Drosophila melanogaster: one gene and its partners. The protein of the gene in region 1 purifies or fractionates together with the protein of each later gene. This does not show direct contact. Each region holds a gene or a part of one and is shown on either strand. Other genes may lie near its edges.

Region 1 (9,948 bases):
CTGTTCTAAATTGACTTTTCGCCTGGACAAAACTAAAAATGACGACATCGCGTTTTTTTTCGCTTTCATAGAAAAGCTTTGCCTCTAAACATGCCCATCATGCGCGTGTTTATAAACAACACAGATCTCTTACCAACCTGTATATAACATTTATATGTATATATATATAGAAAGGTGTGCTGGGCCTCCGATTACACTCCCACATGCATGTTCGCACACATGTATGCAGTTACCAAATATGGGAACACACGTTAATGTAATTAAGCCTTAAGGCTGGATAAATGCCAACTCGAGTCGTATATTATTTGCGATATTGCAGGCAGTTATAAATTAACTTCTTTATGACTGCTGCTAATTTGGATTTTCAATTCGAGTGCTTGTTATTTTGGGTGTTATTTTAAAAGAACTTAAACAGCTTGAAGATAAGGTTTCAAAAACGTTAAGCCATTATCATTATCCCAGGACTGCCTCATTTTTGGTGGAAGCGATTTCTTACATTTTGTTACAATTTAAATCTGTATTGGTTTTTCACGCAATATCTTTAGTTTAACGAATATCATATATCCTATCTTGAACTTCAGCATTTCGAAAACGGTTTCGAGTGGCTTTGAAAAACCAGTAAGTTCCGTGCAAATACCCCTAATGAAGTTCAATCGGCGCGAATCAGTGGTTCGCGCGCTTATCGATAGGCAATGTTTTGGTTTTGCTTGCTTTCGGCATAAAAACGTAATTTTCATGCGGTTTTTGCGGCAATTTAGGGACGTTTTTCGTTTGGCAAGTGGTGTTTGTGTTATGAATTAAAGTAACATTTAACTCATTCAATTGAATCATCGCATAAAGCAGAGTGTTTTTGTGTTTGAAACTGAAATCTGCGCACGTGTTGACTAACTTGTTGTTATTATTATAGCGTTGCTTAGATATTCTAGTAAATTGGCCGCAAATCAAAAACTATAAACAATTCTCGTGGCTGTTGAAAATGGAGAGTTCCAAACTCTTGAGAAATGCACAAACCCAGCATGGAGATGCCTCATCCGTGGACGTGGAAAACATATTCCTGCACCGCCATATGCTATACACAAATCCCACTTCGGATGGCAATCTCCATGATCGGGAAGATTCCCCCGAATGCGTGTGGTGTCCAGACGACAAGGATGGTAGTCCAGCTGAAAGCAAAGATCCACCGGTGAGTAGTGATAAGATAAGACATTCTATTAAGTACATAGATCCGGTTACTATTATATATCAAGATATCATACAATATATAATTACATATGATCCGCATTGTTTGCTGAGTATACCTTGTGTATTTATAAAAAAGAAAACTAAATTTTTAAAATTATATACTGTATAGTTATAATTTTTTAACATTACAGAAATGTTAGAAATATATTGTATATTCAGGAATATATTTATGTGTAAAATCCAGCTGAACTTGATTAAATGCCGTTTTGTTCATGCACTTGAATGCATATTTGTTTACCCTGGCGTGTCGCCCTCCATTATTAATTCCCATTTATTTACCCGCTTTATAGCGAGGAATCCGCGGCTGGCGACCACTTCTCCAACTTTGACCGATTCGCAGCTAGTAAAAGAGCATATTTATCTTGGGGGAATCGAATGCCCAAAACAATTTAGTCCGGTCTGCTCGCAAATTGTGTGGATTCGGATTCCTGTCCTCACTTATGCAGTATTATTGGTGTCGAGGGAAATTTCAATGCAGCAGCTCCAATCGCACACTTAAAACTTAATTAAAAAGCTAATCAGGGAGTAGCAAATGCAATTTGCTGCATTAATTTAAACAATTAATTAGGTACAATTTCAATTGTTGTAATGCTCTTCATATCTAAGCTCATTCATACTGTAGTAGTTTAATTCTAAATTGACGTAATAAACTAGAGGCAAATTAGGTTTTTGATTGAAGCTTAAAGTGTTGTTTTGTATTTATTCTTCAGAAAAAGTTTCGAAGTAAGTTGCAAACTAATTAATAACAATAATGAAAGAAAGCTCAAACAGCATTGCGTGACACCCACACATGTGAGTGAAAGAAATGGGTTTATTTCAGTTTTATTCTATTACCTTAAAGTTTCGAGAGTCATAAAATTGTATATAAACATGCGGTGGAGCCAGGAGGAGTAGCTGCACCCTGGTACCTGGAGATTTAAGCCATTTTTACGAGACTTTGAGTCACAAATGCCCCAATAAACGAGACTGCAGTCAGTGCCTGCAGTGGAAGAGTCAACGTTCTGGCCGCCATAGAAATTTAAAGCCACCCCTAGGCGTCAGTAGATTCTTAAAAATTTAGGGCTTTGCTAAGATGTGCAACAAAAACCAGATTTTAGACAAAACCCTTAATGGCCCACAAAAACCGGTACAGGCATGCTAGTTTCGTGGCTTTTTGTTTGCTGGTTCCTCCACCTCAACGTACGTGACAGTGTCAAATGGCCTTAAATATTTAGCCAGAGTGTACACTTAAAGCGCCAGACCCATTCCTAATTCTCTCTCGCTAATTAAACTAATCAATAAACTAAAAACCGGAGTGTATACAAACGCATATACATTATATACATGTATATATATGTATATAGGGAAATAGCTCGAGGTTGTCGTCTGCAAGGAGTTAAGTTATGTGTGGGGACCAACTGGACGCACGAATGGACGGACACGTTTCACTTGCCTTCGTAGATATTTTACCACGGATTTGTCATAATTAGTTCTTTTTTGGGTGGGGTTTCAGTGGGTTTCTAGTGTCCCGGCATCTCGCGCGGTGGCTGCCTAACGAGCTACTTTTGTCAAGTTGGTCTGTTGGTCGTGATGTTTCCGCAATTATTAGTGTCAGTGCCTCGTGCTTACGGGCGGGTGGGTATCCTAAGTGCGGTCCTCATTGTTTCCGCGATGCGCCTTTTGGGCCAGTCGTTTTTATAATTCTTACAATACCATGTAAACACGCATTACGAAAACCGCCGCGGATGGCGGTTACTGGTTTGCAGGAAGAGGAAAATCCCTCTAAGACTTGGTCGCCTGCACTCCTTTTCCATTTTCCATTCCACTGACACTGGCTTGCGCCATCAAACTGAGGAATTAAAAGGGAAGATAGGCTGCCTGTGGACTAAGTGGCTTTGCGGATCAGGCACACTTTGCGCAATTAACTAAATAAATAAATGTATAGAAAAGTGGTTGTTAAGAAAACATAAGCCTTGTCATTCGAACATATCAAATATTCCCAAATCTTGCCACTTTAAAAACTCTTGTTGGGCTTTTTGCACAGACACAATACCTATTTTTTTTAATAAGGTTTGATTGCATCCCCTCTGTTAATTATAATTAACAGGTAATATTAATGATTTTAACTTTCTTTTTGTGGCATAATAATGGTGGCATATTGACTTGGAACAATCAAAAGCATTATTTATGTTGACTTTAATAGCCAAGGACAAACAAAAAATTATGAAATAAATAAAAATAACAATTGCATTAATATGTAAAATCTGTGTAGTATATATATTAATTAAGACCATAAAGGGAACAAAACCCATAGAGATGGCACTTTCGAATGTGTTGAGATATCTGCGAGGCGCCAAATTGAATTGATCTGGCAACGCTAAGTTGAATTTGTTATCAATGTAGGTTAATGTGAAGAAAAAGAAAAATCGTGGGTTTGTTTACAAAAAAGCGCGATAAAAATAGAATGCGAATTGGCGGCAAGTGAGGGGAGCCGCCGATGATATCCAATTTGTATGATAATTATGCGCACAGGTGTGGACGGATTGGAAATGTGCCATCAAGAGCATGTGGAAACAGAAACATGAGCCAATGAAGGCGACGGAAGAAGAGCATGTCATTATCCTCCAGTTGGATAAGTTCCAAGATGCTGATCCGGATGAAATCAGGGTGTATCAAGAAGCAGTACCCAAGGGAGTTAGCTCCTCTAGTCTTAAAAACACCGCCTAACAATATAAAAACCTTATCGAAACCCATTGTTAGCTGATAACAGCTTTAGAATAATCTCTGCAGGATCAGAGGTCACTGCAATTCTTAAGGTAATTGCAATTCTTAAGGTAATTGCTGTAGAGCTTCGTGAAACTACGAGGACCGACGCAGAATCAATGATGTCTATGGCACTTGAGATGTGGAGAAGGGAGGGCAGCACAAAAATGATAAAAAATGTTTGTATTTTATAGTTTTAAACTTTGCATAACCCTTAAACAACTCAAGAGACCTGTTTTATTATGGACTTTTGTCTATGTTTGCTTCCTGGCTAGAACATATTGGCTGGTAGACCAGTAACCAACAAAATACTACTGGTTCGCAGCCAATTTTGTAGTTTTTGTTTTCCTTTTAGTGTGCAACAAGGAAAAAACAAACAGTCTGTCTGAAAATTATGCTTGGGCTGCAGAATGAAAACGAGGAATTGTTTGCACACAAACACCGGAAACAAGGCTCCAATGTGTTAAGAGCTGATAAGCTGATAAGGATACATATATGATGACTTTGGCACGGTAGGCTTTCGTATTTTCTGTATCTTCAAGAGTGAAGTTCCTCAAATCTAAACGAATTTTCTAAATAGTAAGCAATTGTTCAGTTTAAAGCAAGAACTAAAGGTGTTTTTGCTCAAAAATAAAAAGAAGACATTCAATGAAGCTGAAAATATTTTAAAAAACTATTACCACCCGTCGTGGTTTATCTTACAGATATCCATATCAGAGGAAAAGTCTGAAACGCAATCAAAAGAAGTTTTGTCGGAAAAGCGAAAAGCTAGCAGCACAGATGACGAAGGGCATGTGAAAAAAGTAAAATTAGAGGCCAATAGTCTAAAAACGAAGCGTCCTGGATTCAGCGATGAAAGATACGACGAAACATCGTATTATTTTGAGAATGGTATGGCCAACATATTAATAAACCAACTTAGAAGATATTCTGTTATAAAATTGCAATCTATAGGTCTGCGGAAGGTGTATCCTTATTTTTTCACATTCACCACGTTCGCCAAAGGACGTTGGGTTGATGAGAAAATTCTGGATGTATTTGTCCGCGAATTTCGAGCCGCACCGCCGGAGGAATATGAACGCAGCCTGGAAGCGGGAAAATTGACTGTTAACTCTGAGAAAGTGCCCAAGGACTATAAAATCAAGCACAATGATCTGCTGGCCAATGTGGTGCATAGGTAAGCATCAGCAGGAAATCTCATTTGAATATGCACACATTTGCATTCTAGACACGAAGTCCCTGTTACTTCACAGCCCATCAAGATTGTGTACATGGACAAGGATATTGTGGTTGTGAATAAGCCGGCATCGATACCGGTAGGTATACTAATTTGGAAGGAATTTGATTTAATAACAATCGTATGTTGTAGGTACATCCTTGTGGAAGATATAGACACAACACGGTAGTTTTCATCCTGGCCAAGGAGCACAATCTGAAGAACCTGCGAACCATTCACAGATTGGATCGTCTCACATCTGGCCTACTTTTGTTTGGACGGACTGCTGAAAAAGCCCGCGAATTGGAGCTGCAAATCCGAACTCGCCAAGTGCAAAAGGAATACGTTTGCCGCGTTGAAGGACGCTTTCCAGAGTAAGTCCAAAATGCATCTAATCTTTTATATATCTGCTTATTTTTCATATCTTTCGTAGTGGCATAGTTGAATGCAATGAGAAAATCGACGTCGTGAGCTACAAAATAGGTGTTTGTAAGGTTTCACCGAAGGGCAAGGACTGTAAGACCACATTTAAAAGAATCGGCGAGGTGGGCAGTGATAGTATTGTTTTGTGCAAACCACTAACAGGACGAATGCACCAAATACGAGTGCATTTACAATTCTTGGGTAAGTGACAACCAGATAATTCCATTCAATTATAACACTCGTATTTCACAGGCTATCCCATTTCAAATGATCCTTTGTACAACCATGAAGTTTTCGGTCCATTGAAAGGAAGAGGAGGAGATATCGGTGGAATAACCGAGGAACAGTTGATCAGTAACCTAATTAGCATTCATAATGCAGAAAACTGGTTGGGCTTGGAAGGAGATCAAATCGTATCAGGGGAAATAAAAGACGTAGCAGCAAGTACTTCAGTAGTAGAGGCTCCCTCAGTAGTTCAGGCTCCTATTAATAGTGAAACTGAAAAGCCTGTGATTTCAAAAAACCTTGAACCAAGTAACGATGTAAGTAACTTAAAATAGTTGTACAAGTCTGGAGAACACAATGCTTATAGGCTACTGCACAGATTGCCACCCAAACGTGCTATGAGGAACCAGACAGGTCCTTTGATTCCAAGAAGACAACTTCGGATCCGCAATGTTCTGAATGCAAGATAAACTACAGAGACCCCGGCACAAAGGATCTCATAATGTACTTGCATGCATGGAAATACAAGGTCAGTTTCAAACTATACATTTTTAAAGATTTAATTTCAAATTAAATCTTATTTTCAGGGCGTTGGTTGGGAGTACGAAACCGAATTGCCGGAATGGGCGTGTAATTCGAATATTGATTACGATAAAGTATAAAGGAAAAATTGATTGCAAACACGACGCTTTAGTAAAAAGAAATATTTTTACAGAGTTTAACAAATTGTGTTTCCATTTTATCTTCATTTGTAGCATTGTTTTATTACTTTGCCGAATTACTTTATCATTTTGCGGTGCAAGGGGATGTCCTCGTGGAGTATTATTTATCGTCGTGCAGTGGATGTCCTAGGATGCCAACTATCCTGGATAATACTTTGCAAGAACTTCACCTGAACACTCTGCTCACAGTGGTTTCAGTTAACTGCAGTTCTGCGAATTTTTAAAATTTAAAACCACAATCAGTTGGCGGGAAGGGAATGCCCCTAATTCTATCGATTAGTTGGTTCTTATCGATAACGGACGGGGCAGGATATGTGTCATCTCTGTCGGACATCTGGCGCAAATGAAATACAAATACCGAATTAAAGCAGCAAAACAATGATACACGATTTGTTATTGGCTTGCCGGAGCCACAATCCGGAGCAGCTGGGTATAAAGGCATTCAATGTAAGTAAAATCGTTGGAAATAAATAATTTCGAAAGCCTTACAAGCGAACTTTCTAGGAAACCACAGTCATTGACCAGTTCATACATCCTTGCGAGCGGGAGATATTTATGGACATTATAAAAATCATTAAGGTTTACCAAGAAGTTGAGCAGTTTACCCATTCATCGGGAAGAAAGTCCGACACACATGGCGAACTTCCAGGTATAAATGGAAGGTTGCATAGTGTTTTTAAGATTTCAAATGTGTATTTCTATCGCAGATAGTTTGCATGGTTACTACTTGCTCAATTTGGCCAAGGGCATTGAAATGGCTCTGGAGGAGTACTACGCTGAGATCGGACGTCTGGAGAAGTATTGTTTGGGTAACGAGCGCAATTCGCTCTCATATGTCTACAATGCCCTGTACGCCAAGTTCCCCCTTCTGGTCTTCATGCGTAATCTCATCACAGAGATCCATGTGCTGAATCTGCGAGGATGCGTCTTGCTCCACAATCTACATCAGCAGTGCGAGCACGGCGATATTCAACTGGAAAAAGCAATCAAGATGCAAGTGATAGCCAACACACAACGCCTTGTTTCCATAATCCAAATGCTCTTCATTATGCAGAATTATGAAGCCTGTTAAGAACGCATTTTTCTCCAGCCTGGCTCACTGGCTGTTGTTTGGAGTGATTGACGATGTCCACTCGGAATTCTTTATTAAGTTTACCCCAACGGATGCAGTTGATGGTAGCTCATTCAGCAAATCAGCCACTTGCTCACTTCTGGTAACAACTTAACAAGCGATTATCCTTACCCTATATTATAAATAGCATATCTATATCCAGAGCGCAGAGAAAAACCCCGAGGATTACATATGGCAATATGAGGTGAATATGTCTCAGCTGCCAGGATTTTTCTCCATCGTTTTAGCCGAAAAAGTTCTGTTCGTGGGACAAACAGTGCTGGTCTTCAAAATGGGGCGCAACGTAAAAGTTAAAAACAAAACCGACCCACTGGCGGCAAAACTGGCTGAATTGGATTCAGATGATATCTATCAGCTGTGGAGCGGCAGGGAGTCCGAGTTCTTCAAAATGGTCGTTGATTTGAGCAACGAGGACACCATCAATGTGTTTCGCCTCGAGAAGGTTATTATCGATATCAAGAATTACGTTAGCGCCCGGCTGTCGGAGATCGCTGTGAACGAAGTGGATCTGGAGCGGCAAATGGGACTGATTAAGGACTTCTTTTTGCTAGGCAGAGGAGAGTTCTACTTGGAGTTCTGCTCCCAAATGGTCGGTACCATGGAAACTTATCGCGAAGAACGTTTTAAAAACGTCACTAGATCATTTGAGGTACTAATTACGCATAATGTTGTTAAATATGTATTTTAGATTTACATTTTTAACTCATACTCAGCTGGCAGCTACTGTCACGGGAATCACAGATGACTTGGACAAGTTTTCACTGATCTGCCAGAGAAGCACGTCTGAACCAGACGATACCTCCGACTTTAATTTTCTGCAAGGCCTCAGTCTAAAATATGAGTATGAGTGGCCATTGAATCTTTTGTTCTCCCCAACAACGATCGAGCGGTACAACAATATATTCCGATTTTTACTGATCATTCGAACATATCAATACGAAATACAAAGGGTCTGGGCCAAGCAGACTTGGAGGGCGAAGAGTGCAAAGGATGTGCCTCCAAATAACAAAATCATAACTCTTCGCAACTATCTAATGTTCTTTCTGAACAACATGCAGTATTACATTCAAGTTGATGTGCTGGAAAGTGAGTTTTTGAGCGCAATACGAAATTGATCGAAAATAACTCACATTTTGTTACAGGTCAATTTGGAATTTTGATGAATGTGATCAAGAGCAGGAGTGATTTCGAAGTTATACAAAGGGCTCACACTGTATTTCTGGCAAATGTTCTTTCGCATTGCTTCCTGCTTAACGAATCAGAGACCCAATTGAATGTCACCGGGAGCCAAAACCGAAATCCCATTTATGGAACCCTTCTTAAACTCTTTGGCATATGTGAGAAGTTTGCGCATATGACCCAAACGAAAGATCCGTCTGATGACTTAGAGGATGAAGTCGACCAACTTAATGAAAGGTATGTCTTTACATTTTGGATAAGTGGGTTATTATTGTATAATAATAAAACGTTGTTTTCTTATAGTTTTGGTGTTCAAATTGCGAGCCTTATCCAACTATTAGTCGATGTAAAATCAGCTTCTTGTTTGGGTCCGCTTTCGCAGCTGCTTTTGCGTTTGGATTTCAATTGTTGGTTCAGTGCCAGTCATAATACGTCCGCATGAATACGATGTTTTTGCCTAAAGTTGTAGCCGCTTAATGTCTTCTATACGAAAGTCATTTCTGAAAAACAAACAAACGATTAATAAACTGAAGAAAATGTTATATTTTAAATAAACTTTCTTACCTTAACGTTAAAAATGTGCGAACTTCGTTAGGTGTGAGATGCCAAGATGACATCTCTTTGTTATTCTCCGGATTCCAGTACTCCGATAGCTCCGTAATCTTGTCCAGATTGAGGAGCGTAGCTATTTGGGATATACGTGTCATCTTATCTCGAACCGACCACGATGTAGCTCCTGTTAGATAACTTCCCAAGGCACGAACTTCCTGATCAAGCACCAAACCGCCAAGCTTTTGAATAGAACATAATCCATTATTATTCTAATTCCACAAGGTAAATTTGACCTGCTGAGATACATACTCTATTAAAGCTGATTTTCTTAATAGCCCGTTCCAATTGAATAGTCACTTCGGTCGCCAAAATGCTAACGAGTGCATCATAGTTGCGCGGACTCAACGAGTTCTTAAAAGAGTTAAGTAGTCCATCCAATTGCACTATGAAGAACTGGACAAATGTCTCCCCAGCTTCGTAAGCAGCAAGTTCCTCCTGTAAAAACAGATTGCATT
Region 2 (12,179 bases), on another chromosome or scaffold:
AAAGGCAATCAAAGCTATTATAAGCATTACAAATAAGTTGTCTCAATCTTCGCATAGTATTGCATTCATCTAAACCTATTTATGGAATGATTGTTACCACATTTAAAAATAATTAAAATTACACGTTTCGCTCTTCTCAGAGCTATTCCACTTCACTAACAATATTGCATTCCATCCAAATTAAAACAATCTAATCCAAAAAGTCTATCTAACCGCAATTCGTTGAATTTGGTTGAAAACTCACGTATTTAAACAAATGTTTTGATGTTGTTGTCGTTTTGAAGGGCGCGTTCCATTCGAAATGCGAGTTCTTTTCGGTTCGAATTCTTCTAGAATTCTAGAAAGAACGGAGAGCTCTGGGGAAGATCAATTCGGTTCGGTTGCTGGCCAGAGACTGAAAAACGATCGCGTGAACGAAGAATTCCTGATCAGTGATCACACGACCACCTCAATTAGCTGAACAACTGGCGAAGTTGAAAGTATTGGTTCGGGTCGCCTAAAACGTGATCAAATTGCTCGACCGAAGGCACGAGATACAATGTGCACTTTAATTGAATTTCGCTTTGTTTACAAACTATTCTTTTCAATTTAGAGCCAATAATTATGGCGAAATTGTTTGTTTGTTATGTCATTTGCAAACGCCACAATGGCAAATATTGCCAATCGCTTGTGGAAAGAATGGCGAGTTTAGAATTGCTATTAGTTCCACAAAGCAATGATAATGCGATTTATACAATCGACAGTCAACAATTTAACAGCGTTTAGTGAACTATTAGGTAGCATTGTGAAATAAGTAATGAATATAATGTATCTTAAAATAATCAGACCGATTAGAGCGACTAGAATGATTTTCTAAAAACGCCTATAAAGGGGAGGTTTAAATGGAACGTTCTTGTTGGATCGGTTTGTAAATATTTAAATATAAAATAGAAACTAAATAAATTTGACATTTTTGCAACACAATCTAGAAAGTTTCCTTCCTTGTAGGTAAACTATTGAATTCCAGAGGTCAGATAAGAAGAAAAGCCCTTATCAGTACGGAAACGTGTAGTTCAAGTGGTTTTATCAGCATTTTGTAACCGGATTGAGCATAAAAATGCGAAACGTGCGAAAAGTTTATTAACCCTTTGAAGAAACTGGAGAAATCCGTTCTTTGAGGGTCCACGAAACCAAAATAATTGGAGAGATCAGTCGTTATGTACCGATGTACGTACATGTATGTATGTATGTATAAACATAATTGCCGATTGTTGACAGACGGCGAGCTTTATTTATCTTATTTGCTTTCTTTTTTTAATTTGGCATGTGTGAAAAAACTAGTTTTGCACTGTATTGGTATAAACGTAAACAAACTGAGAAAACAGTTGATTCAATTGTTTGTTTATTTATAACGCGAGCCAATTCCTCAAGAATTTGCAACAACAAATGGGTCAAGTTAAAAGGAAAGTGGGACAGACGTAAAAAGAAAAACCACAAATCCAGTAACATTTCTTACTTGATTATTATGATCTATATTTTTGTATCAACTTTTAACACTTAACATTAAAGTTAAAAAATCACAAAGCTACCACTTCTACCGGTGAAATTGAAATAAATATATTTGTTTGACTGTCAGCGAACAGCTGAAAGTCTAGTGTTGCCATCGCTCACCAACTTTCATAGTTTCCCTGGCGCCCTCTAGGCGGCTGCTATAGCGAGTCAAAGGCAGGGCTTGGCAGCACTTAAGTGGCTGAGTGCCTAATATTTAAATACAACAAAACCCATTTTTTTTTGTTAATTTAGATTTCTAATTACTATGCTTATGAACAGAAACTAAAAATTCAAAAGATGGGCACCACTAAAGTCGCCAAACTATCGATATTTGTAGCAATTACACGTTTTCCAGCACTTGAATCGAAGAGCGAACGTTTACCCTCACTGCCGCAATCGCGAACAATTTTTTATTATGGCACTTGCGCGGCTCACAAACGATATTCGCTGATAAACATTCATTGGAAATTATTGCCGAACGCAGAGGACTCCGCCAATTGAAGTGTGCGCTTAAAACGATCGCCGTGCAGGAAGCGGAAGTGCCCCATAACAGCTATTTTCTCGCCGCTTTCTCCCCCATCACCCCCCCGCAAAACAAGCGACGCCGATAGAAACATTTAATTTGTGCAAATAGCCGAAACCTACACGGTCGGCCATCAAATATTATGAAATGGGTAAGCTGCGAGGGTAACCACGAGTGGGTCCATTTCCACAGCCTTGCGTTTCCACGGCGCAAATCGAAAACGAACTGCAATTGCAAATGCATCTTCAATGCCGCTGCAAGTGTGTGTGTGTGTGTGTGTGCGGTGTGATGTGAGCGTGTGTGCGAGTGTGTGCAGTTTTCTTAGGGCGTTTTAACTGTTATTTATTTTCGGTTTCTTCATTTTCCGCAAATAGTCACTTTTTCGTGTTTGTCTGATTTCCCCCCCCCCCCCCCCCAGCCTGCACTATGAATCCGATTTCGAAATGGATTGAAATTCACACCCTCAAATCTTCAGTGTCACTTGCAAATGCTCAAAAACGTATGGAAATTTCTGACTTGCTATGATGTGACTTAAAATCATATTTTTATGTTAAACGCCCTTATATTCATAATTGGTAAAGCATACCAAATCTTAATTAATACAACATATAAAGGGTAGAGCAGCGATTGAGAACTTTTCTGCATATTTCAAAACCTTAAATATAACCTGTGTACAATGAGGGAAATGTTTCTCACACTGTAGTTAGAAATTAAGTCATGTTAATGCTGTCTAATTGCAGCATCAGCTTTAAATAACTTGCCCAGTGTTATCTGAAGGTGTGTTAATGCATGCGATACATCATAGGTGCAATAGGTATAATCCTGTAAAGGCAGATTGAATTATTATTCCGATACCCCTGCATTCGATCAGGAGCATTGATCCCCCGAATCAGAGCTTAAGACCACACATCCAGGTGGAACTTGTTGCTTGAGGCTTGGTTGTAGGTCAGTGCGAAGAGGTGGCTGATCCGGCGGCGAAGGGTGCGCACCAGGCGACGTCCGGCGACGATGTAAGTAGCGGCCATCGTAAACCCAATCACTCCAGTAACCACCTCCAAGCAAATTTCCAAAAAATCGTTACCTTCACTTGCCTTGTTTCGATATGATTTTATTTTATGTTGTTTCCTCGTATCAGCAGCAAAATTCGTGCACTTCTAACATCGATATTGGCCAATCTTCAATTGTGAACCTCCTGTTTAGTTGCGCTATCGTGCTTAACCAATTGGACCAGCTATTTTATTATGTTGCTAACTCTTACCTCCACATAAATACACAAAAACACAAGACACTGGGATTAGTCCTTATCTATGGAAATATTCGATATCGGTAACCTTACACTGATGTTTAAACAAATTCGAAAACTGAGCACCATAAACAACAATTAGTAAACCATCATTATAAACAAAGGTTTCATAATGTTTGTAAAACGTTCTTCAGTTTGTTTGTGCCTTATAAATCTGCATTGTGGAGCATTTACTATGCTTCATAAAATGATAGGACTTGATCAACTAATCATAGCATTGATGGCGAAAACTAATATTTCACATCTTAAATTAGGACTAAACAAACACAAACATATACACACTTATACACTGAAATATGTATACATTACAAGTAGTTTGACCCACAACCAATACTTTTCCCAGACAATGCCCTCGGCCATCAGTGGCGCGCCACATGCCCACATACCCAGCAACGAGGAGTGCGGCATCCGCGATGTGTGGAAGCAAAACCTGGAGGAGGAGTTCCGCACCATACGGAAAGTGGTGCAGAAGTACCACTATGTGGCCATGGACACCGAGTTTCCAGGCGTGGTAGCACGTCCAGTCGGCGAGTTCCGCTCCACGGCGGACTATCATTACCAGCTGCTGCGCTGTAATGTCGATCTGCTGCGGATTATCCAATTGGGCCTTACCTTCATGGACGACGATGGAAAGACACCACCCGGCTACTCCACCTGGCAGTTCAACTTCAAGTTTAACCTGAGGTAAAAGTGTTTTGTTTATGCTCTAATGGGGGGTCCTATATTATCGTTTGTTTCCCTAGCGAGGACATGTATGCGCAGGACTCGATCGATCTGCTGCAGAACTCCGGAATTCAGTTCAAGAAGCACGAGGAGGATGGCATCGATCCCATCGACTTCGCCGAACTGCTGATGAGCTCTGGCATCGTGCTGGTGGAAAACATCAAGTGGCTGTGCTTCCACTCCGGCTACGATTTTGGCTACCTTCTAAAGCTGCTCACCGATCAGAACCTGCCCCCGGACGAATCTGAATTTTTCGATCTGCTGCACATCTACTTTCCCAACATCTTCGACATCAAGTATCTGATGAAGTCGTGCAAGAACCTGAAAGGCGGCCTGCAGGAGGTTGCCGATCAGCTGGAACTGCGGCGCGTGGGCCCCCAGCATCAGGCCGGCTCGGATGCTCTGCTGACGGGCATGGCCTTCTTCAAAATGCGTGAGGTACAGCACACAAATGATTTCCACATTACACCGGTGGCGCACGATGTACTCTTTCGCTATCTGCTTGAGCACACCATGAACTTAAAGCCGACGATCAGCTGCATCCATCTGCTGAGCCGTCCGGCATACAATGGGGGCCCTGCCCCCGACGAATCTGCGATAATCAGCAGTGGCAACGGCACAGGCAACACCAACTCCACCGAGCAGTTCACCTCGAGCGCCTACATGGTTACACCTCCTAATACGCCCGGCATGGCCAAGAGCGATGCCGCATCGCTGTCCAATCGCCATACGTCTATTTCGAATAGCTTCGGATGATTAGACAGCTCGCTCGCTGGTGTTGCCGTGCACTTGCCACTGCTAACGTAACGTGCCTCCGCCCATCATAATCATTATTCCTTAGGTTTAAGGTTTTTCATGGTTGTCATAACGCATTTTCATACATAACTCATCTATGTACTTAGTTTTTTGTGACCTGCACAATTTACAGAGCCAGTGACCCAGAATTTATGAATGAAATCCATAATTTGAAGTGTTCTTAGTAGTTAGTTTGGAGCTGTTAAACCCATGTGAAACATGTTTATTTAGCTGTAATGCCCGCGATACGAATTGAAATGAGAAACGCGCTGGATTCGAATGGAAAATTAAATGAATTGGAATTAATTTTCTTTAAATGTTTATTTGCATTCTTTGGTGTTTGGGCATGGCATATGCATATCATAGCTTGCTTGATTTCATATGACATCTTTTTAATTGTATTGATGTTCATTTTAATTTATGTTAAGTTCACGCTCTTCATTTATATCGAATTAACAAATTATTCTTTTGTAATTTTAAGCGCTTTGCTGACATATGTTTCCACACGGTTTACTGTGTGTATCAGCGTACCAAGACCTTTATCTTCTAGAGAACTGCCGAATAGTTTTGAAATAACAAGAACATTGCAGAATAAATCCCATCCCATACTAACATTCATTAAATATGAAATTTACTAATATTGAAACCTCGTCCAATCACATCGGTTCTGCGGTATGTAACAAATCCTATCTACAAGTAGGACCCACCCATCTACTTGGGATTACTTTCTAAGACTTTGCTGCCGTAGAAATATGTGTGCTTTATACGCTTTGTAGCTCCCAACTAAAGTTGCTCGCATTGATACATCCCATAATTACCATACTTACCCAGAAACTGCTTTCTAACCCATTTGTGCTGTCCCATTCGAAAAACGATCCAATGTTCTGTACCTGCCTAATGAAACTTACAATCTTTGCAGATGTTCTTCGAGGACAACATCGACCATGCGAAGTACTCCGGACACCTGTACGGCCTGGGTACCTCCTTCATCGTCAATGGCACCAACTTCCACGACAGCAACGGTGAGACGAACAGCGCTTCATGATTCGTACTGATGGGGAACGTGGTCGTGCACGACAGGAAGTTCGAGCAGGAGGAATCACCGGGTCCGTCGGCATCTGTGCAGGCCACACCACCTGGCCAACTGATCCTAGCCGTAACAACACCATTGCAGTAATCTGTGGACAGTCGACACAGATCGTTCCCATTTGTGAACAATTATACCCCGTTGGCCATAAAGCTAACTTCTTGATGTTTCCCACGCAAGTTCAGATGAATAGGCAACCGTTCAATACGAAAACATGGCATAAACTAATTGTAAATCGCATAGAAATGAAAAACCGGCAAAACTAAAATAGATTCAATTTCAAGTTCTGCATGTCTTAAATGTGTTACGAATACAAAACTAAGGTATGTAAAATTAAGCTAAAACTGTAAGCCAATGAGCGAAACAGAGAATATTGTGTATTTGTAAAAAGAGCAAAAAAACAATATATTTAAAACTTTTTAATTTAGTGTACATTTCGAAAACGTGTTTTTATTTGAAGTATGAATACGAATCGAGATGTTTGGTTTAGTAGAAAAAAGATGGCGAAAACCTGTAGAAAAAAATATCAAATATCAAATATCAAATCAAGAGAAACCAAGAATCCCAATATCTACAGATGAAAACAAAATTTTCAAGGGTTAAAAATCAATAGTGGGTTAATGAACATATAAAAGGTATTTTTAAAATATAACGGAAATACGCCGAAGTAGCAATAGTCGGATTTTTGTGAAACTGTGGTGCGGTCACACCGAGCCTAGTCCTTATGTTTTGTTTATGGAAAATATCTTTTAGTTTTTGAGTATTAAAAGCCAAATCGATGGCAACTGTGGCTGAATGCAATCACAGCGTCCTCGACCTGGTAACCAAAATGGCCACAATGCTGGTGGCCGATGAGATGAAGCCAAAAAAACAAACAGCTGTGCTGGTGGCCAAAAAGCGCTCCAAAATCTATGAATCGCTGCTTCACAGTGAAACGATGTCGTCCCAGGACAAGCTGGAGATGCTCCACCAGGTGACCAGCGAGGTGGCAAAGAACCCAGACCGGATGGACATGCTGCTCAGGTTCCAAAATCTGCTAGAAGGACAGGATAAGGAAGAATCGGAGATTACACAGGACCAGGATGAGGAAAACCAGTCCGAAGTGGTGATCAAACGTATCAAGGCAGGTCCACTGCAGCTGATTGAAACCATAGAGATTGTGGAGGAGGCACTTCATCCAAAGGCCTTTCCCGACATCAATCAAATGAATCGCGCCCTGAAACCCCTGCAACTACAGCCATACTCCGATATTCTTACAACGAGTAACCTGAATATAAATTTTCCGCCAGAAAAGCTAATTCCGAAGATCATACCATCTACTGTAATTCGCATGGGATTATCAGAGTCCATTACACGCATGAGGAACGAAATGGAAAAACCAATGCATCCACCACCCCGATTGCCAGTGCTCGCGAAAAAAGTCGTAGCTCCATTAGAGGATGAACGACCTTTTGTGGCCCAGCCTGGACCGGAGAAGCACTTCGTTTCGGATAAATTGTTGACCAACGAACTTAAGATCCTCCGGAACAAGAACCTGGTTCTCAACTACCTAGATGAAGCAACCCTAATCGATCACCTAAAGAAAGCAGCGTGTGGTATTGAATCTTTAACGTTTCCCATCTCGTCGGCAGATAAGTTGGAGTTGCGAGTGAGGCCCAACACAACTTTGCCAACTATGCTGCCGGAGGTGCTGGCGGATTTTGCAAATCACTTCATTCGTGCCGGCTGCGCCTTCCTGCGTTTGAGTTCCCGCACCAAATGGAACAATATCGCCGAAATGCGGCTGGAAAGGCCTCTAAATCGAGTGAGATTGAATACCTTATTTCCAGTAGTGATATATTCAACAATCCCATGCTTTCTTATAGGCCATGCGAGAGACGATTATGGACTATCTAAGCACCACTCGGCAGTTTTTGCTCTCTTTGCAAGCCGATAGCCTTTTCCAGCTGCTAAACAACACCTCCACAGCGATTCAGTTACTCTGCCAACTAGATAGGATGTTCGAAAATGAACCAAGATGTAAGAATGCCGCGACGCGAAATTATTTCAGAATTAATCTCTTTTATATACATTAATGCAGTAAACCTGAACACTGGGATAACTGGCTCCTTCCTGTTGAGCTCCATCTGGCTGGCCATCGACACCTGCGGAAACAAAGACTTCCTGCACCTGCTCATCTATTTCTTGCGCTGCATATCCCGTAATTATTTTATTCAGCTACAGAGATGGATCTACCATGGTGAACTAGACGAGTCGGTCAACGAGATTTTCATCAGCCGCTGTCTGAACACTTCACCGTCTTTTACAAACCAGTGCAGCAAAGAGTTCTTTGACAAAAGCTATCAAGTGGACAACGAGGCGATTCCTGAATTTTTAGTCGGTTGCGAAGAGGAAATTCTTCAATGTGGCAAATACAACCTGGTGCTAAGGGCATATAACGCTCAGGTATGCAGAAGATTATTCAAAACTAGAATCCATATATAATGATTTATTCTTTTTTTAGCACCCCGTTTTTGACGTGCAGTACCCGGATATTGTGGTTTGCCTAACGGAGCAACAACTCAAAAATATGCGCCGCAACCTGGCCGATAAGTATGCCATCATCTATAAACGTTTCGGATGGTGCAGCATGCAAAGCATTTTCGAGGACCGCATGGCGACAAAGCGTGTATTTGCCAATCTAATGGTGAAGCGAACGCAGGCCCATCTGGACGCGTGGGCGCAGAAGCAGCGTGAACTCCAAATAAAAGCGAATGCCCAGAAAAAACTCCAGAACGATCAGTTAAACGCAGAGCAGGAACGTATCCAGCAAAATCACTTAGAGAAGCGGCGTCAGGACATTGTTAATGAACTTGCATTTCAGCGGGAATGCGAACGGATGGAGGATAAGCTCCTGGAGCGGGAAAAGCAAGAGCTGCAAAAGAAAGTGGTGCAGCTAGCAGCTGTCCTGTCGTCCAGTCCTGACCGAAGCACAGTCAGCGATCTCAGTTTTGCATCCTGCATTGAGGAACCAGATTGTCTAGCAGAATCATCTTCTGATAAAGATGATGCAAATACAGAAAATTCAGAGGATGAGGCAACAAAACAGTTGGATAAGACTTTAAATGTTCCATTGGAACAGCCCGAAGCTGAATATCAAGCGGATGTAGATGTGGACCAACCACGTGGCAAAGAGTGTTCACTTCCCAATGTGTTTCAGTATCAACGGAGTCACTCGGACGTGATAAATTCTAACGAGCATCCAACAACCCAAGCAGAGTTCAATCGAAACCGCCAGCATGGTCTCTCCTCCGACCAGTTTCAACAGTGTCATGCCACGGTACATCTACAAGAGTCCGACTTACTTAAAACCGCTGCCAGCACGAGTTCAGGATTGCACGCAGAAATTCCTCAAGATATTAATGCTAATCTCAATTGCCCGGACACGAAAGAGCTGACCGAACTACAGCGAAACCGCAAGCGCAACGAGCATCATGACGGCTTCTTCAGTTTTAACTCTACCGAAGATGAGCACACCCATCGATTGCGTTCCCTATTGAACTCAAATACTGAACGTGGCAGAAATCGACTTCGGGTTATGGAGACCGAGTTCGGTCTAGGTTATAAGAACACGGATATAGAAACAAAGGCCACGCCCTGTTTGCCTCTCGAAATCGACAAGCTTCACGTCGAAATTCCCCTGGCGGTGCTAACTCCAATGTCCACCACTTCCGATGTGGATTTCGGTGATCCGTCGCCACGGGAACTACCAGAAATAGCTGACACTGCTAATAATAACAATGTTAGTGGGAGCATTGAAAGTTTGTCTCCGGAGTTGCCAAAGCCCGTTCTTGCAATTGCTAAACCAACTAGCTTATTGCCGAAACTGGATTTTGGAATGAAAGATGAAAGGGAGACGGAACAGGACAGAGATAAAGTTAGCACTTTGCCCGAGGCTTGCAATCCGTTTATGGCCCGCCGCTGCCTGCAGCTCTCCGTAATGGCGCCCCTTAACGCATACTACGGACTGCTCCGAAATGAAGTGCTGAGAATATTCCAGGAGCAGCGTATCTACGAGCATTTCCGCAAGCTCAGAAACTACTTTTTCCTGGTGGACGGTCAATTTGGAGCTACACTCACGAACGAAATTCTAGGAAGAATAAGGGCGGGCGTTGGGCCACGAAGTCTCAGCCAGAAGGGCATCCTTGACACCATTTTAACCAATGCGCTGGCGGCTTGTTCGGCGGATGAAACGACGGTATCGGAGAACCTTACCCTCAATTGTACCACCATCCCGGATACGCTCAACTTCCTGTCCGTGGAAGCCACTTCTATGCTAAAGCTGAACTGCAAGATTGATTGGCCTTTAAACATGGTGATCAGCTCGGAGACGATTTCAAAATATGGCCAGATCTTCGGGTATCTGCTGAAGCTTCGTCACGTTAGTTTCGTGCTGGATGGAACCTACGAGTATCTGCAGCAAATGGGCAAGCTTCTGGGACCGGAACTTCGGACATGTACTCATTTCCGACACATGCAGATGATGCGCCACAAGATGTCGCACTTCATGACCTCGTTTCAAACGCATCTGGTGGCCAAGGCCCTGTTGTCCACCTGGAAGAGCTTCAAGGAGGAGTTGTGCACAGCCGATTCCATTGAGGCGTTGTACAAGCAGCATGTTGCCTACTTAAAGCGGGTAGCCTTCCTAGCACTGCTAAATCGACGCAGTGCGAAAGTAAAGGAAACCATTGATAATATCCTAGTGATTATACTACGCTTTTGCAAGTGAGTTTACGTCTTAAATAGTCTGCTGATTCATTTTATTCTTTAATTTAAATGTTTTTCAGAGTCATTCAGTCGCAGTCCTTTATTGTGGATCAAGATAATTACTTTGTGCACCCCCGCTTCAAACGTCTGCAGCAGGAAGAGGCTGAGTTCGAGAAATTCTTGCAGTATCTCATCTATTTGGGCAACAAGGCGGCCGCTTCTGGTTACCAGGAGGAAATCGGTGACCTGATTTGTATTATTAACTTTAACCACTATTACAAGGTATCTGGGAACCATACTGGTTCCTCAATGGAGGACAAAAAGTGCTAGCCAATAATTGTTAGATAGGGAATTTATCTTGCCATTAAGCTGAGCTTAGAACATTTTAAAAAATATTTATGCATGCATGGCGTCTCCTAAATGTAAAGCTTCGGTGAAGAAAATCAGCTTTAAAGGCATTTATTTCTTAGTACTATTTCTTTAGTTTCGGTTAACAGTTTTGTTGTGTTGTAAGTTAATATTAATTTTCAAATAACCGGCTCAAATTAAAAGAAAATAATTTAATTAGTAACATCTAATAGTGTTTTAATTGAACTCGTATTAAATGCCGAAAAAACTGTTTTGAATATTTATCCATATCATTAATAGATTTCTGTTTAATATTTAAGAAAAACTTTTAAAAGAGACAATTGTCTCTAAAGTAGAATGTACGTATTAAATATTGTAATGAAACCAATGTCGACATGATTTCTTGAAACTGTTGATTCGAATTTATAAATAAATGTGCTTATTTATGTATGTCTTACCATATTTAATATTTAATATTTAATATTTAATTCAAACGTATGTAAGGTATCGCTTCCCTATCATCTCTAAGTGACTGTGCGCGTACGATGTATCGGTATTCGCTCCATCCCTGGTCATGAGTCACTTCGTGTAGAATAATTCAGTTTTATTTTTAGTTTATAAAAGCGCTGCACGCGATCAAGAATTTTATATTTTTAAGTAATTTATTTCATCGAACTATAATCAAAAAACATGCAGGTAAGATGGACTGTTATAAGCAAATTATATTTATTATCCGAACAATAAGGTTTTTCCATTTCGATAAATGGTAATGGTGGGTGTGTTTTGGTGCATCCAAAAATAAACCCCATATTTGGTATTGAAAATCATGAATGAAATGAAACTCACGTGGCCTTGTTGTCCATAGGACCCAAACGAAGATACCGAGTGGAATGATGTGCTCCGAGCCAAGGGAATAATTGGGCCCAAGGCGAAGGAGGCGGAGATCACAGAGGATCAGATCCAGAAGCTGATGGACGATGCCATCCAGCGGCGCACAGATCTGCCACTGAATGAAGGCCAGCGCGACAAGAAGATCGACGACATGTCGCTGGACGAACTCGACGAACTGGAGGATTCCGAGGACGAGGCTGTTCTAGAGCAGTATCGCCAGCGACGCATCGCCG
Region 3 (10,977 bases), on another chromosome or scaffold:
ACCAATTTTTATAGCACAAATCTTTATCAAATATTATTAAAAGTGTCGCGCTATTTCACCGTAGTCTTAAATCGCTTGTTAAGTTTCAAATCGCTTACCACTGTCGTTAAATGTGATAAATAGAGTAGGCAAGCTTTGCGCGATAACCGAACTTATCGATACCTGACTAACCGCGCATATATTTTTGCCCCAAAGACTGGTCACACTGCGGCGAAGCGCGAAATATTTTTCGAAGTATTTTTGTGCACCTCGAAATTGCGATACTAATTTCTGTAGAGGATTGGCCCAGGATCAACAAGGCGACCATCATGTCAGATGCAGACTACTTGTTCGCTCTGAACCTGCAGAACCAGCTAAATGCGGAGTCAGACCAAAGTTACACAGCCGCGGATGCCAGCAATGTACGTAGTTGGAAATGGTAATCTGGTCTATAAAAAAACACTCTCCACTCTGGGTTCTGCAGGACAGGGACTATCAGCTGGCACGCAGGATTCAGAACCTAATAAACGAGGGCGATGAGGACGGTGCTAGCGAGCTGGACAGCAGCATTCAGTTCGTCTACCCCAAATCGAATCAGCCAAAATCAGTGAGTGTGCCATGAAAAACATAGCATTTCATTCAACCGTAGGCCCTGCTCATATCGTATCGCCTTTCATCTCAATCAGACAAAAATGGAGAACTCTGAAATCAAAAACAAAAAACGAGAAGCGGCTAAAAAGAAGCCAGTGCGCGCTATTCAGGCCAGCCATGATGACTATCTGAATAAGACGATGAATCTGGTGGATCCGGAGTGGGAGCTGGTCGATCCCACCCCGGACATCTACGCCATGTTCATACGCTTCGACGAGAAGTTCTTCCAGGAGCGCCTGGGCGCCGTCTCCCTGGAATGGAGCAAGAAGATGTACTCGTGCGCTGGAATCTGCTACCAGCGTGGCAATCGCTTCGTCAAACAGGTGACCATTCGGCTCAGTGAGCCGCTGCTAAAGTTGCGTCCGCGCAAGGATCTCGTGGAAACGCTCTTGGTAAGAATTGTTGCACGCAGTAAGGTTCTTAATTGGCATCTCAAGCCTATAGAATTGCATATGCACATAGCTATTTAGCATTACATTATACCTCTTTGTTTATCCAGCACGAAATGATCCATGCCTACTGCTTTGTGCTCAATATACGCGAGGGTAACGGTGGCCATGGACCCAATTTCAAGCGCATCATGGAGACGATCAATAAGGTGGCGGGCACCAACATCACCGTTTACCACACTTTTCACGATGAGGTGGCCTCCTATCGCACCCACATCTGGCGCTGCACGGGCATTTGCCGAGAGCGCTCACCCTTTTGGGGCTATGTGAAGCGGACCAGCAACCGAGCGCCCGGTCCGAACGATCAGTGGTGGAAGATGCATCAACGTGAGTGCAGCGGCACCTTTTTGAAGTTGAGTGAACCCCCGAAGGCCCCCAAGCCGGAGACCAAGTCAAGGGCTAAGAAGTCCACACCGGCGGTGGCCGCGCCCAAGGAAGACATACGCAACTGGTTCGGCCAGCCGTCAGCCAAGAAAGCGGCCACCGGCACAGTCTTACTAGGCGATCTGGCGAAGGCGGTGCCGCCGACTTCTTATCCCGGACTCTCTTCCGAACCCTTTGCATTGCCCAAGACACCAGCTGCTGGCACAAAAGGCAACAAAAGCGGCGGATTCAATGAACTGGACAAATCAGGTTCGAAAGCCACCACTGAAATGAGCGGACAGGGCTACAGTCTTGGTGGCTCTAGCGCTATAGAACACATAGATCTTAGTGACACTGATGTTCCCGATTCCGCTAAACTTCGTCAAATTCGACTTCAGCGTTTTAGCGAAGATGCTTCCAACAAGCGACAGAATAAGAAAAAGAGGCGTCGTGTTTCCAGCGACAGCGAGATAATCAACTGGGAGTCCTACGATGATGACGTAATGGTCAGGGATGTTCATACGCCCATCGTCAACTTGGTCGAAAGCTCTAGTGATGAAGAGGAGATGAAGATGCCAGCTGGCAGAAAAACCATGACCAGTCAGGAGCGCACGCAGATCATCAAGCGCCAGGTAATGGAGGATGAGTTGACCTTGTGTGAGGACGATATCCTCTTAATTGATGATGAATACGACGATGAGGTGGCCGCAAATGAATCTTTAACAGCCGCCACGGAGCTAGCTGACCAATCCATTATAGATGATATTTTTGGAGAGGACACCCTGCTGAAGGAGTTCCAGCGTGAGAACGACGTGCAGCCCAGTTGCTCAAGCTACGCCAAAAGAATTGAGAACGACATCGTATCTTGTCCCATTTGCTTTGAGAAAATGAGGCGCACTGAGTTGTCCAATCACTTCGATGGCTGCGCCATTATGGTGCGCTTGGAACCGCCATCGTTTAAGCCTAAAAACCGCCGAACAACTGCTTCCTTAACCTCAAAGGACTCGTCGGGAGCTTCCACATCACGCCGCGCTAAATCGAAAGCAAAGTCATCAAAAGGAATTCTTCGCAGCTCCGGTTACACAGAAGGGGAGATCGACAAGCTCAACCTGAGCTCCTCTACCGACTCGTCTACTCTGCCGTCTAGCGAGGACGAACTTACTCCGCGTCAGCGCCGCCAGCGCAACCTCTTCAAAGAGACCGTAGGCTGCCCCAGATGTGGCCTGGAGATCATGCCTCTACACCTGAAGGTCCATGGATCCGTCTGCGCTGGTCGCAAGAAGCGCTAGGACAAAAAACATCTCATACAAAACATAATTCGTTAAATAGAAACTAATGTTAACTTTAATGTTATTAAAAACATGTTACAGGATTCGCCCAAAATATCGCACATTCTTTTTATCCAAATAGCGCGTGGCCAACGCCGGCCAGTGGACCACAAAGAGGTCCGCCAGCGGAAGGAGCAGGCGTCCGCTCAGCGACAGCGTCTCCACGCGGCAGAAGCTCTCCACGAACACTATTCTGGAGTGCGAGGGCAGGCGTCCGAGGAGGCGCCACAGATAGGCGGCATAGCAGAAGGGCACACAGGTGCCGGGTCCATTGCAGAGGATCAGTTGGGGGCGATCACGCCAGACCAGATAGCAGCTCCAGAGAAGCGCCCACAGGCTGGTGAAGATGCTGCTTAGCCAGGATTGGCCCACGTCGCGGCTGCGCGGCACCTTCACGAATTCCGCCCTCTGGGCAGCCTGCGGCAGGACCTGCCTGAACTGGCGCTCGGAGGTAGAGTCACTGTTGGCCAGGATCAGTCTAATTGGCTGGTACTTCTCCGTCTGTTCGATGTCTGTCTGTTGCAGCAGCGCCTGGGTCAGCCGGCACATCTCCGCCGTGTGGCCGCCAGAGCCCAGTATTACGTAGGTGGGGTGAGGCGAGCTGGTCGTCATATTGCCCTTCGAAAACTCAATTTAAATGACAACATTTACAATTGTTTACGTTTCAAGTCGATTGTCGATCATCCACGAACAGCTGTTTCCATTGCTATCGATAACTGAACCGATAATTATGCCGGTGTACCATTTACGTTGTTGTCATTGCTGAGGGCGCCATTTATAGAATTTATTGGATCTCAATCAGAAAGCGGAGCGAAATGGCTCCTCCCGCCCAGAAGGGTAACCTACGGAAGCGCTCCGGCAAGACCTCGACGGCAGTCAACTCCGCCATAAACGAGAACGTGCGAAAACTGGTCAGGAGCCTGTCGGAACCGGGGGTATGTTTTAAAACAGATGTTATCCCTATTCCAATTTAACCAACTTAAAACGCAGACGAGCCAGAAAAAGTTGCGCCAGATGGAGGATACGGCATTGAAGATAATCGCCAACCAACGCAGGACATGGGCTCCTACAACGACGGACATGGAGGTGAAACGCAACCTGGACGATCTGGCAGAGCGTTTTCGGGCGGAGGGCATGGCGTCTTTTGGTGAGAGCATCAAGGACTTGGCCATCAGGTATTTGGCTATGGACGAAAATCAACAGCAATTCAATCCTAACCCCGGATGGCAAATGCTCGAATTGCTGTTTCGCATAGCCGATAGGCCGGTGCAAAAGATCCGGCTGAACCGCGAGTTCATGGAACAGCGCCGTCTGTCCATAATTAATAGCATGGAGGAAGCCGAGCGACAGGCACAGATAGAGGAACAGGCGAAACTGGAGGCAGCCAAGAATACCTCCGAAACGGAGGTGGACTGGGCAGCGCTGCTGTCCGAGGATTTTCTGGATCCGCCAGAGGATGACAGCTCGGACAGCTTAAGTGTGAGCATCTAGAGAACCCCAAACATATGTCATCTGCTACACATATGTAGCCTGTTCTTTCCATAAAATCATTTGCAGCATACTAATACCTTTACCTTCTTTCCAAAAGGACTGGTCGGAGGAGTCGGACTGCGACTCGACAACTACTCTGAAGCCCGATGAAAATATTGGCGTCTCGCGAAGCCTCTTGGAAATGGCCAGGGTGTACGAGCAGGCCATGATGGCAGTCGTTCCGACTGGAAGTGTTAACAAAACGTATATGCCGCCCGAGCAGAGCGTGATCCGGAGTTACGACTTTCGGATAATGAAACCAACTGTTCTAAGCCTCAACAACTTAAAGGGCAGCCATCTGAGACGAAGCAAGCTGCTCCAGTTGCCGCCACCCCAACCGCCCCGACCATTCACCCAATATTGGCAAAGTGGCAACACAGATACGCTCTTCCGTAAAATCCATTCCCACTGGTGGTGCCAAGATGTCCATTTAAACGCCCTGCCCTCCAGTGCTAAGCCACTGGACAACTTTGCCGTCAGCTACGTGCAGTTTCTGAATCACAATGCCCGAGGCTTGTTGGCCCTGCCAGTGCCGAAAACCATCACGGAGCCCTGTCTGCTAAGGGAGATCCTCTTCATGTTTGTGCGTCCAGCGAGCTGTTGTTTCTTTGAATTCGACAAGGCCACGCGACGCATTACTGTGCGTGACAATGTCAGTATTTGTACGGTGACTGCGGTAAGAAAGTCGAATCGTTAATGTGTAACTCTATCTTTAGTCCGGCTTTTTTTTTTGTAGAGCACAATGCAAAATTTTCTGTTATTTGATGTGGTGCCTGCGCTGGAGGACATGATGGAACTGCGTCACATCATCGATACTCATACGTTGCATTTTCATGGCGTAAAGACAACATACACCGTGGAGTTCTTTGCATACGGCCTGAGAGATCTTGTCCAGCCCATTTGCCAGCTCCTCATCGCTTACGAGGATCGTGTCAATAAGGATCCAGCGAAAAATACACTGATCCGTTTTACGATTGAGTTCAGGGAACATTTTAGCCAGCTGCGCTTACTGCGAGAGCTGGCCGAAGATGTCATCCTGGATAAGGGACCTGCGCACATACGCAGTGCCTACTTGCTATCCAGACTGTATAAGCACACCTTGCTGCAGGTGCCGCACCAGAAGCTGGCCACTGCCCTGCTGTTTATATCTCTCAAGCGATATTGTATCATCATCGACGGCTGGTGGCGCAGGGCCGCGCTGGAAGATCACCTTCGCGAGTTCATCGTGGAGTTTTGGTAAGCCAAAATGGTGCTCACACATCACTCTGGCCAGCTGAAGTCATAACTACATTGTTTTTAATAGTTACGAGGAAGATGCGAACACACGTAGCCACGTGCGCAAACGAAATATGGGAATGGAGGATGATTTGCTACTCGTGGAGATCTTCAACAAGCTGCAATCCTGCCCACTCTACCAGCTACTGCTGGAGCATGCCTTGGAGTCTGGCGAAACGCAAGATTTGCTATGTAGTGTAAATACGCTGAGCGAAATGCTGACCAGCAACAATGAAATCCAACTGCCGTCGCTGCACGATGAGCTGTTCACGCAGTTCTTTGCGCAGCTAAAGGTTTACTGTGGTGCGGACAACACGGATTACGAGGATGAGCCGGAGCCGGACAAAGACTACGAAGATCTGACTGTGTGCAATAGGCAGGGCATTAGGAACCATGAACTTTTCGCCATATTTACCCAGCCGTTGGTGGAACAACGTTTGGAGCGACAACGTGAGCGGCTTAAAAGCAACCCCGTTCTAATGGCCAACATTTTGAAGCGCTTGGAGCGCTCCACATGTCTGCAGCTGAAGTCTGAGTTGCCGGAGGCACTGCGCGAAATACTGCGAAGGAGACAGTGGCTGGCGAACGAGTACGCGATTCGAGCGTACTGCAAGGAAACGCAGGTGGCCGAGAAGATGCGATTCCTGCGGCATACGATGCTGCTGGAGAAATACTACCTATTTGTGCCATACTACAACGCACTCTTCGTGCGCATGGAGAAAAACAATAGCTGGGCACTGGGTTCGGTGCTCACTTCTAAGCTATGCGCTGTGCTCCTTCCGCATTATCCGCAATTGGCTCATTATCTTCATGTCAAGTTAATATCCCAGATAAACTCGAATTCAATCAAGGTCTATGAGGCCCTGGAGGCTATTGAACTGGACTTCGAGCGGCCAATGGCCATGCACCAGTGGTACATTCTCACACCCGCGCACATGCAAGACTACAATTCGGTGTGGCGTCTGATGCTGAAGGTGAAGTGGGCCGTCTGGAAGCTGGAGAATATGCAGTTTTTGCGTCGCGCTAGGTTCAATCCCTGCGCACCACTGGATTTGATCGGTCTGACCATTCGTCGCCTGGAGATTGTGCGCTTCTGGTTAATTTTCCTCATCAACAACCTGCACGCGCACATTATGGAGGCCGTGAGCCGGCAGTTCGAGCTCAGGATTGGCGAGTGCAAGAATGTCCGCGAGTTGCGTATCATGCACGACGAGCACCTGGCGTGGCTGAAGACACACTGTATGCTGACCGACGAATTTAAGGCATTCCGCGTCGCCCTCGACCAGATCTTTCATCTGGTCTACGTGCTGGACATGGAGTGGACCACCTGCGCCAGCTGCATGCACGACCACGATGCCCTATGCTTGGACGTCACCATTTCGGATGACGGCATTGATGACAGCGAAACGCAACGTCGTAGCTTGGAGTACCTGGCGCTCAACCAGGTGGCGGAGATCGAGTTAACGTACATACGTTGCCACCAGATGCTGGCCGACATCCTTAACACGCTGGTGCACCAGAACGATCACGGATTCCGTAAGTGATTGTTGGTCCCGAAATTTGGACATTTGAACTTACTCTTTTTCACTTCGTCTTGCAGTGTCTGCCTTGGAGGAGACCATCAACTCCAGTGTGCCCCATTAGAATCGAATCTCCTCCACAAAGGATCTTGTTAAACATTACGCATTACCATCACCTGCACCACTACCTATAATCCCGACCAAACATTCCCATACCAACTGAATTAAAAGCAGCTTATCTTTGTTGACAAAACCTCACTCGAACTCCTCATCGCTGTCGCCGAAGGGCTCGACGATCGGTGGTGGCGGCGGCAGGGTGGTCACCTCGTGCAGCGTGGGTCGCCGGATGTACGGCTGGCAGGTGAGCTCGCACATGCGGGCGCTGGCGAAGACCGTGCGATGTGGGTAGCAATTACCGTTGACGTGCTCGCAGCGCCGGTAGGCGGATTGGCGATTGAAGACGTACAGATCGGCGCATGGCGAGCAGTTGGCCTGGCCTATCAGTCGCGTCTGCAGGCACTGGAAGCGGCGATCGCTGGCGCTGATGCCCATGGACACCTGGCGTATGGCCATGGCCAGGGCGATGGCCACCAGACAGCAGCAATGCACTCCTTGCCGTCGCATAGTCCGTTGATCTCTGCCGCCTCGCCGCTCTATTCGTTTCGCTTCGCCCGTTTAGCTGGTTTCTCATGGTTGGCGTGGCGCTAATGTGTTCCGCCTTCCTTCAATCTTCAATCTGCAGCACCTCAATGTTAGGCTAATACATATTTGGAGCAGAAAGTAACCCTTTCCAATAGTTTAAACATGTCAAAAAGAGTTTGGAGACAGGCTGTAGCTGAATATTTAAATCGAAGGAGCTTGCGGCAGGACCTTTTCGAGTGCGGGAGCAGGCAGCTTAGGTCCTGCAAACGGCAGCAGTCGCAGCACTCAGAGCTGAAGCGTCCTTTCCAGCTGATTACGTTGCCCTGGCAACCAGCAGGAAGTACAACAAACGTTGCAGCCACTTGCCACTGAACTGAAGTGCAGTGCCTAGAGAGTGCTTGGTGAAAATCCAATCGAAATGGCGTACTCGGTGACGCCGCATCGGGCCAACCTGGTGCTGCAAATGCTGCTGCAGGCCAACACGTATGTGTCCATGGTGTGGGCCATGAGCTACATGATCCACATGCTCATACGCGTAAGTTTTCATTTGAGATTACCCCCTTCCCCCCCCCCCCCTGCGGCATGTGCGGTCATAATCAGCTTCCGTCTGTCCCCGGCAGCTGCATCATTTGTGGAACCTGGAGGGCCTGTCCATGCTGGTGGCCTACGTTTTGGCGGTGTCCGCTGAATCCGTACGCCTATACGCCGGCTACTCGGTGAACCTGTGCTCTGGCGCCACCGCCATGTGGATGCTGCTCACCGTGACACCATGCATCCTGCTGCCCGCCATGGTCTTTCTTCGCCTCTCAGCTGCCGGACGCAGTTTGTGGCTACGCATCATCACGAACGCCGTGTTCGCGCTAATAGTTCTCGAGGTGATCGTGTCTCTGGTGCACTTTGTTATCTGCAAGCCAGGCTGTAAGCTGCCGCTGCCGCTAGAAGGGAACGAGCAGCTGCCGGAGGAGGATGAGGAGGAGCAGCAGCAATCCGCCAGTGTGGGCACACCCACGACCAATGAGCAAAAGCGACGCGTGCGACGCTACCCGGAATCGTAGTGATGAGCTGTGCAGCAGGTGGTTTATAAGTAAGGCTCTGCGTTTTACTTGGACATGGGCATAAATAATAAAGTAGGATAAGCTATTTAAGCTAAGCTAGGCTAGGCTAGGCTAAGGAACGATCACACCTTTCGTGCATCGTCCAAGTTGTGCGCCTTCAGCAGGGCGTCGATCGAGTCCAGATGGGCGCGCATACGCGGCAGGAAGCTGGTCAGCACCTCGATGTTCTCCGCCTGGGCGACACCCTGGCCCAGCAGTTGGCTGCGCGTGGGCACCCAACTGTAGATGATCTGCAAGCGAGGGAATGAGCGCCCAATTAGCGAAGGAAGTGAGAGATACCCGCCCGATGCACCCACCTTGATTGTGCTCTGGACGATGAAGCCGTGGTAGGGCTTCAATGTGCGTTCGTACGCGTCCTGCAGATGCTGCTTAAGTGCCTCCTTGGCCTGGGCATCGTTGTAGATGTTCTCGAAGAAGGTGCATATGAGCTGCAGGCCGCGCTTCAGCCAGAGCAGCGCGTTGGCCGCAAAGTCGTCCACGTTCACGTTCAGCACGATCAGATCCTCCAGATACTGGTACTTGACCACATCCGCTCCGTAGGCTTTCGTCAGTTTCTGAAACGGCAATAAACGGCAATGAAAACGAATGTACACATGTATATATATGTATGTATTTCGTGTTAGATCTTAAAGATCTTGGAAAGCTTACGTTTATGTTTCCGTTCATGTCGCTGATCACGGGTGTGAATAGTTTGCCGAAGCTCTCTGAAAAATGAAAAATGGTAAATAGATAGCAGTGAGTTGAATTGATTGGCTTCGGTTTGGGTGCGCTGTTATCACCTATGACGGTTACTATCTCCTTGGAGGCGTCGAGAAAGGCCTGTGTCTCCAGCTTATCAGCGGTATCGCCGATGGCCGGAAATCCGCGCAGCGCCTTGAACTGAATGCGCGCCGCCGATCCCTCGCTGGCTGCCATCGTGTGCTCCTGTTCTGTCCTGTTCCGTCCTCTAATTTCCTGCTCTGCTCTGCTGCGTTTCTGCTCTCCTTAGCTCTCCGATTGGTTCCGTATCCAATGCGCTTCGAACGCCGACTGATTGGTAAATCTGCAAGCGAAGTTGGCCACCTGCTTAGTTTCGGGCACCAATATCGGCTGTTTATCTTATCGAACGAGCTGCGCTCGGAATTCTAATACTACTCTACACTCGTGCGACACTTGAGCTCGCCATCGGACGGCCTTCTCCTCCGACGCGGCGATAATGGAAACTGGGCTGAGCAAAGTGCCGTGCGCGACTACGTTTCCCCACTCGCCGGGGGGAACGGGTTACGGGGGGGGTGGTGCAAGGGGTCAGAGCTTTAACCCACCTCACAGCTGGCGTCTTGGATCTTGGAGAGCCGCCAGAGAGCTCGAGTTCCGCACACTTCGATCCAATCCGAGTTGGCTTAGTACGAAAACCTGATTTCAGGTTTGCACCATGGGATAAAACGCGATTTTATGTCTCAAATTATCGGACAGCAGGAACTTACAAAAATTACAGCTTTAGATTGAGAAGTTTTGAACTGAGATTGAAATAGACAAAGTTACTTACAATTCTAAGTTACTTTAACAATTTCAACACTTTCAATTGCTAAATTAAAGTATTTGAAAGTGTTTTAGATTCAAAAACTCGAATCAAACAATAATTTACTCAATACGCTAACGTTTTTCTAACCGCAATGCGTGTAAATACCAAAAGTATTTAGTAAACTAAATACTAAAAACTAAAAATAGTTAAAAACCGTTTTTCTAGCTAAAAAAAAAAGCGTTTTAAAAAGATATATGTATTTCAAATGGCAACCGTTTTCAAATGCCAATTTGCAAGTTAGCAAATAAAAACTTTTAGACAAACTTTTAACTATCACGCATTTTCGAATCATAGTAACAGCGATAAGGCTTATCAATAAATAAAATTATGGCATTCCCATGTTAATCTGAATTGTTTTCCCTATTTTGTTTTCGCCAGCGCTGCGAAAGTCAGACAGTTTGATTTTGTGGAACCAACCAACCAGGGTGCACGTCACCGCGTATGGAATCTGGCAATGGAACAGCAATGACTCACCGATGATGGCTGGGCTCTGGGTTTCGGTTTTATCAAGCAATTTGATTGCGTGGCGGGGGAATCTTTCGACGGAATCTTTATCAGCTTAAT

The links.
Region 2: the proteins of Grip75 (region 1) and Grip163 fractionate together in Drosophila melanogaster (co-fractionation; 2 studies listed by BioGRID). This does not show direct contact.
Region 3: the proteins of Grip75 (region 1) and Grip128 fractionate together in Drosophila melanogaster (co-fractionation; 2 studies listed by BioGRID). This does not show direct contact.

What each region holds. Positions count from the first base shown.
Region 1 is NT_033779.5:10,476,410-10,486,357, forward strand, and holds Grip75 (Grip75), read left to right. Parts: upstream 1-6,885; 5' UTR 6,886-6,948; coding exon 6,949-7,017; intron 7,018-7,074; coding exon 7,075-7,219; intron 7,220-7,277; coding exon 7,278-7,563; intron 7,564-7,624; coding exon 7,625-7,784; intron 7,785-7,844; coding exon 7,845-8,351; intron 8,352-8,415; coding exon 8,416-8,788; intron 8,789-8,844; coding exon 8,845-9,118; intron 9,119-9,128; exon of another isoform or gene 9,129-9,184; coding exon 9,185-9,323; 3' UTR 9,324-9,338; coding exon of another isoform or gene 9,339-9,381; 3' UTR 9,382-9,445; downstream 9,446-9,948. Other genes in the region: RluA-2 (RluA pseudouridine synthase 2), read left to right, coding at 977-1,183, 4,689-4,875, 4,939-5,161, 5,213-5,300, 5,354-5,574, 5,634-5,824, 5,876-6,165, 6,216-6,377 and 1 more; Cog4 (component of oligomeric golgi complex 4), read right to left, coding at 9,339-9,381, 9,446-9,672, 9,743-9,928. UniProt on the Drosophila melanogaster protein: Gamma-tubulin complex is necessary for microtubule nucleation at the centrosome.
Region 2 is NT_037436.4:11,992,611-12,004,789, reverse strand, and holds Grip163 (Grip163), read left to right. Parts: upstream 1-6,651; 5' UTR 6,652-6,739; coding exon 6,740-7,765; intron 7,766-7,826; coding exon 7,827-7,980; intron 7,981-8,041; coding exon 8,042-8,406; intron 8,407-8,464; coding exon 8,465-10,725; intron 10,726-10,787; coding exon 10,788-11,037; 3' UTR 11,038-11,516; downstream 11,517-12,179. Other genes in the region: Pop2, read left to right, coding at 2,196-2,204, 3,700-4,040, 4,100-4,835; viaf (viral IAP-associated factor), read left to right, coding at 11,746-11,751, 11,921-12,179.
Region 3 is NC_004354.4:15,464,648-15,475,624, reverse strand, and holds Grip128 (Grip128), read left to right. Parts: upstream 1-3,505; 5' UTR 3,506-3,585; coding exon 3,586-3,705; intron 3,706-3,760; coding exon 3,761-4,249; intron 4,250-4,358; coding exon 4,359-4,976; intron 4,977-5,036; coding exon 5,037-5,536; intron 5,537-5,603; coding exon 5,604-7,111; intron 7,112-7,175; coding exon 7,176-7,219; 3' UTR 7,220-7,344; downstream 7,345-10,977. Other genes in the region: mh (maternal haploid), read left to right, coding at 309-401, 464-586, 666-1,022, 1,130-2,731; Alg14 (ALG14, UDP-N-acetylglucosaminyltransferase subunit), read right to left, coding at 2,807-3,382; CG15641 (uncharacterized protein), read right to left, coding at 7,351-7,719; CG15642 (uncharacterized protein), read left to right, coding at 8,156-8,272, 8,358-8,792; CG6299 (uncharacterized protein), read right to left, coding at 8,915-9,082, 9,149-9,406, 9,501-9,556, 9,632-9,767.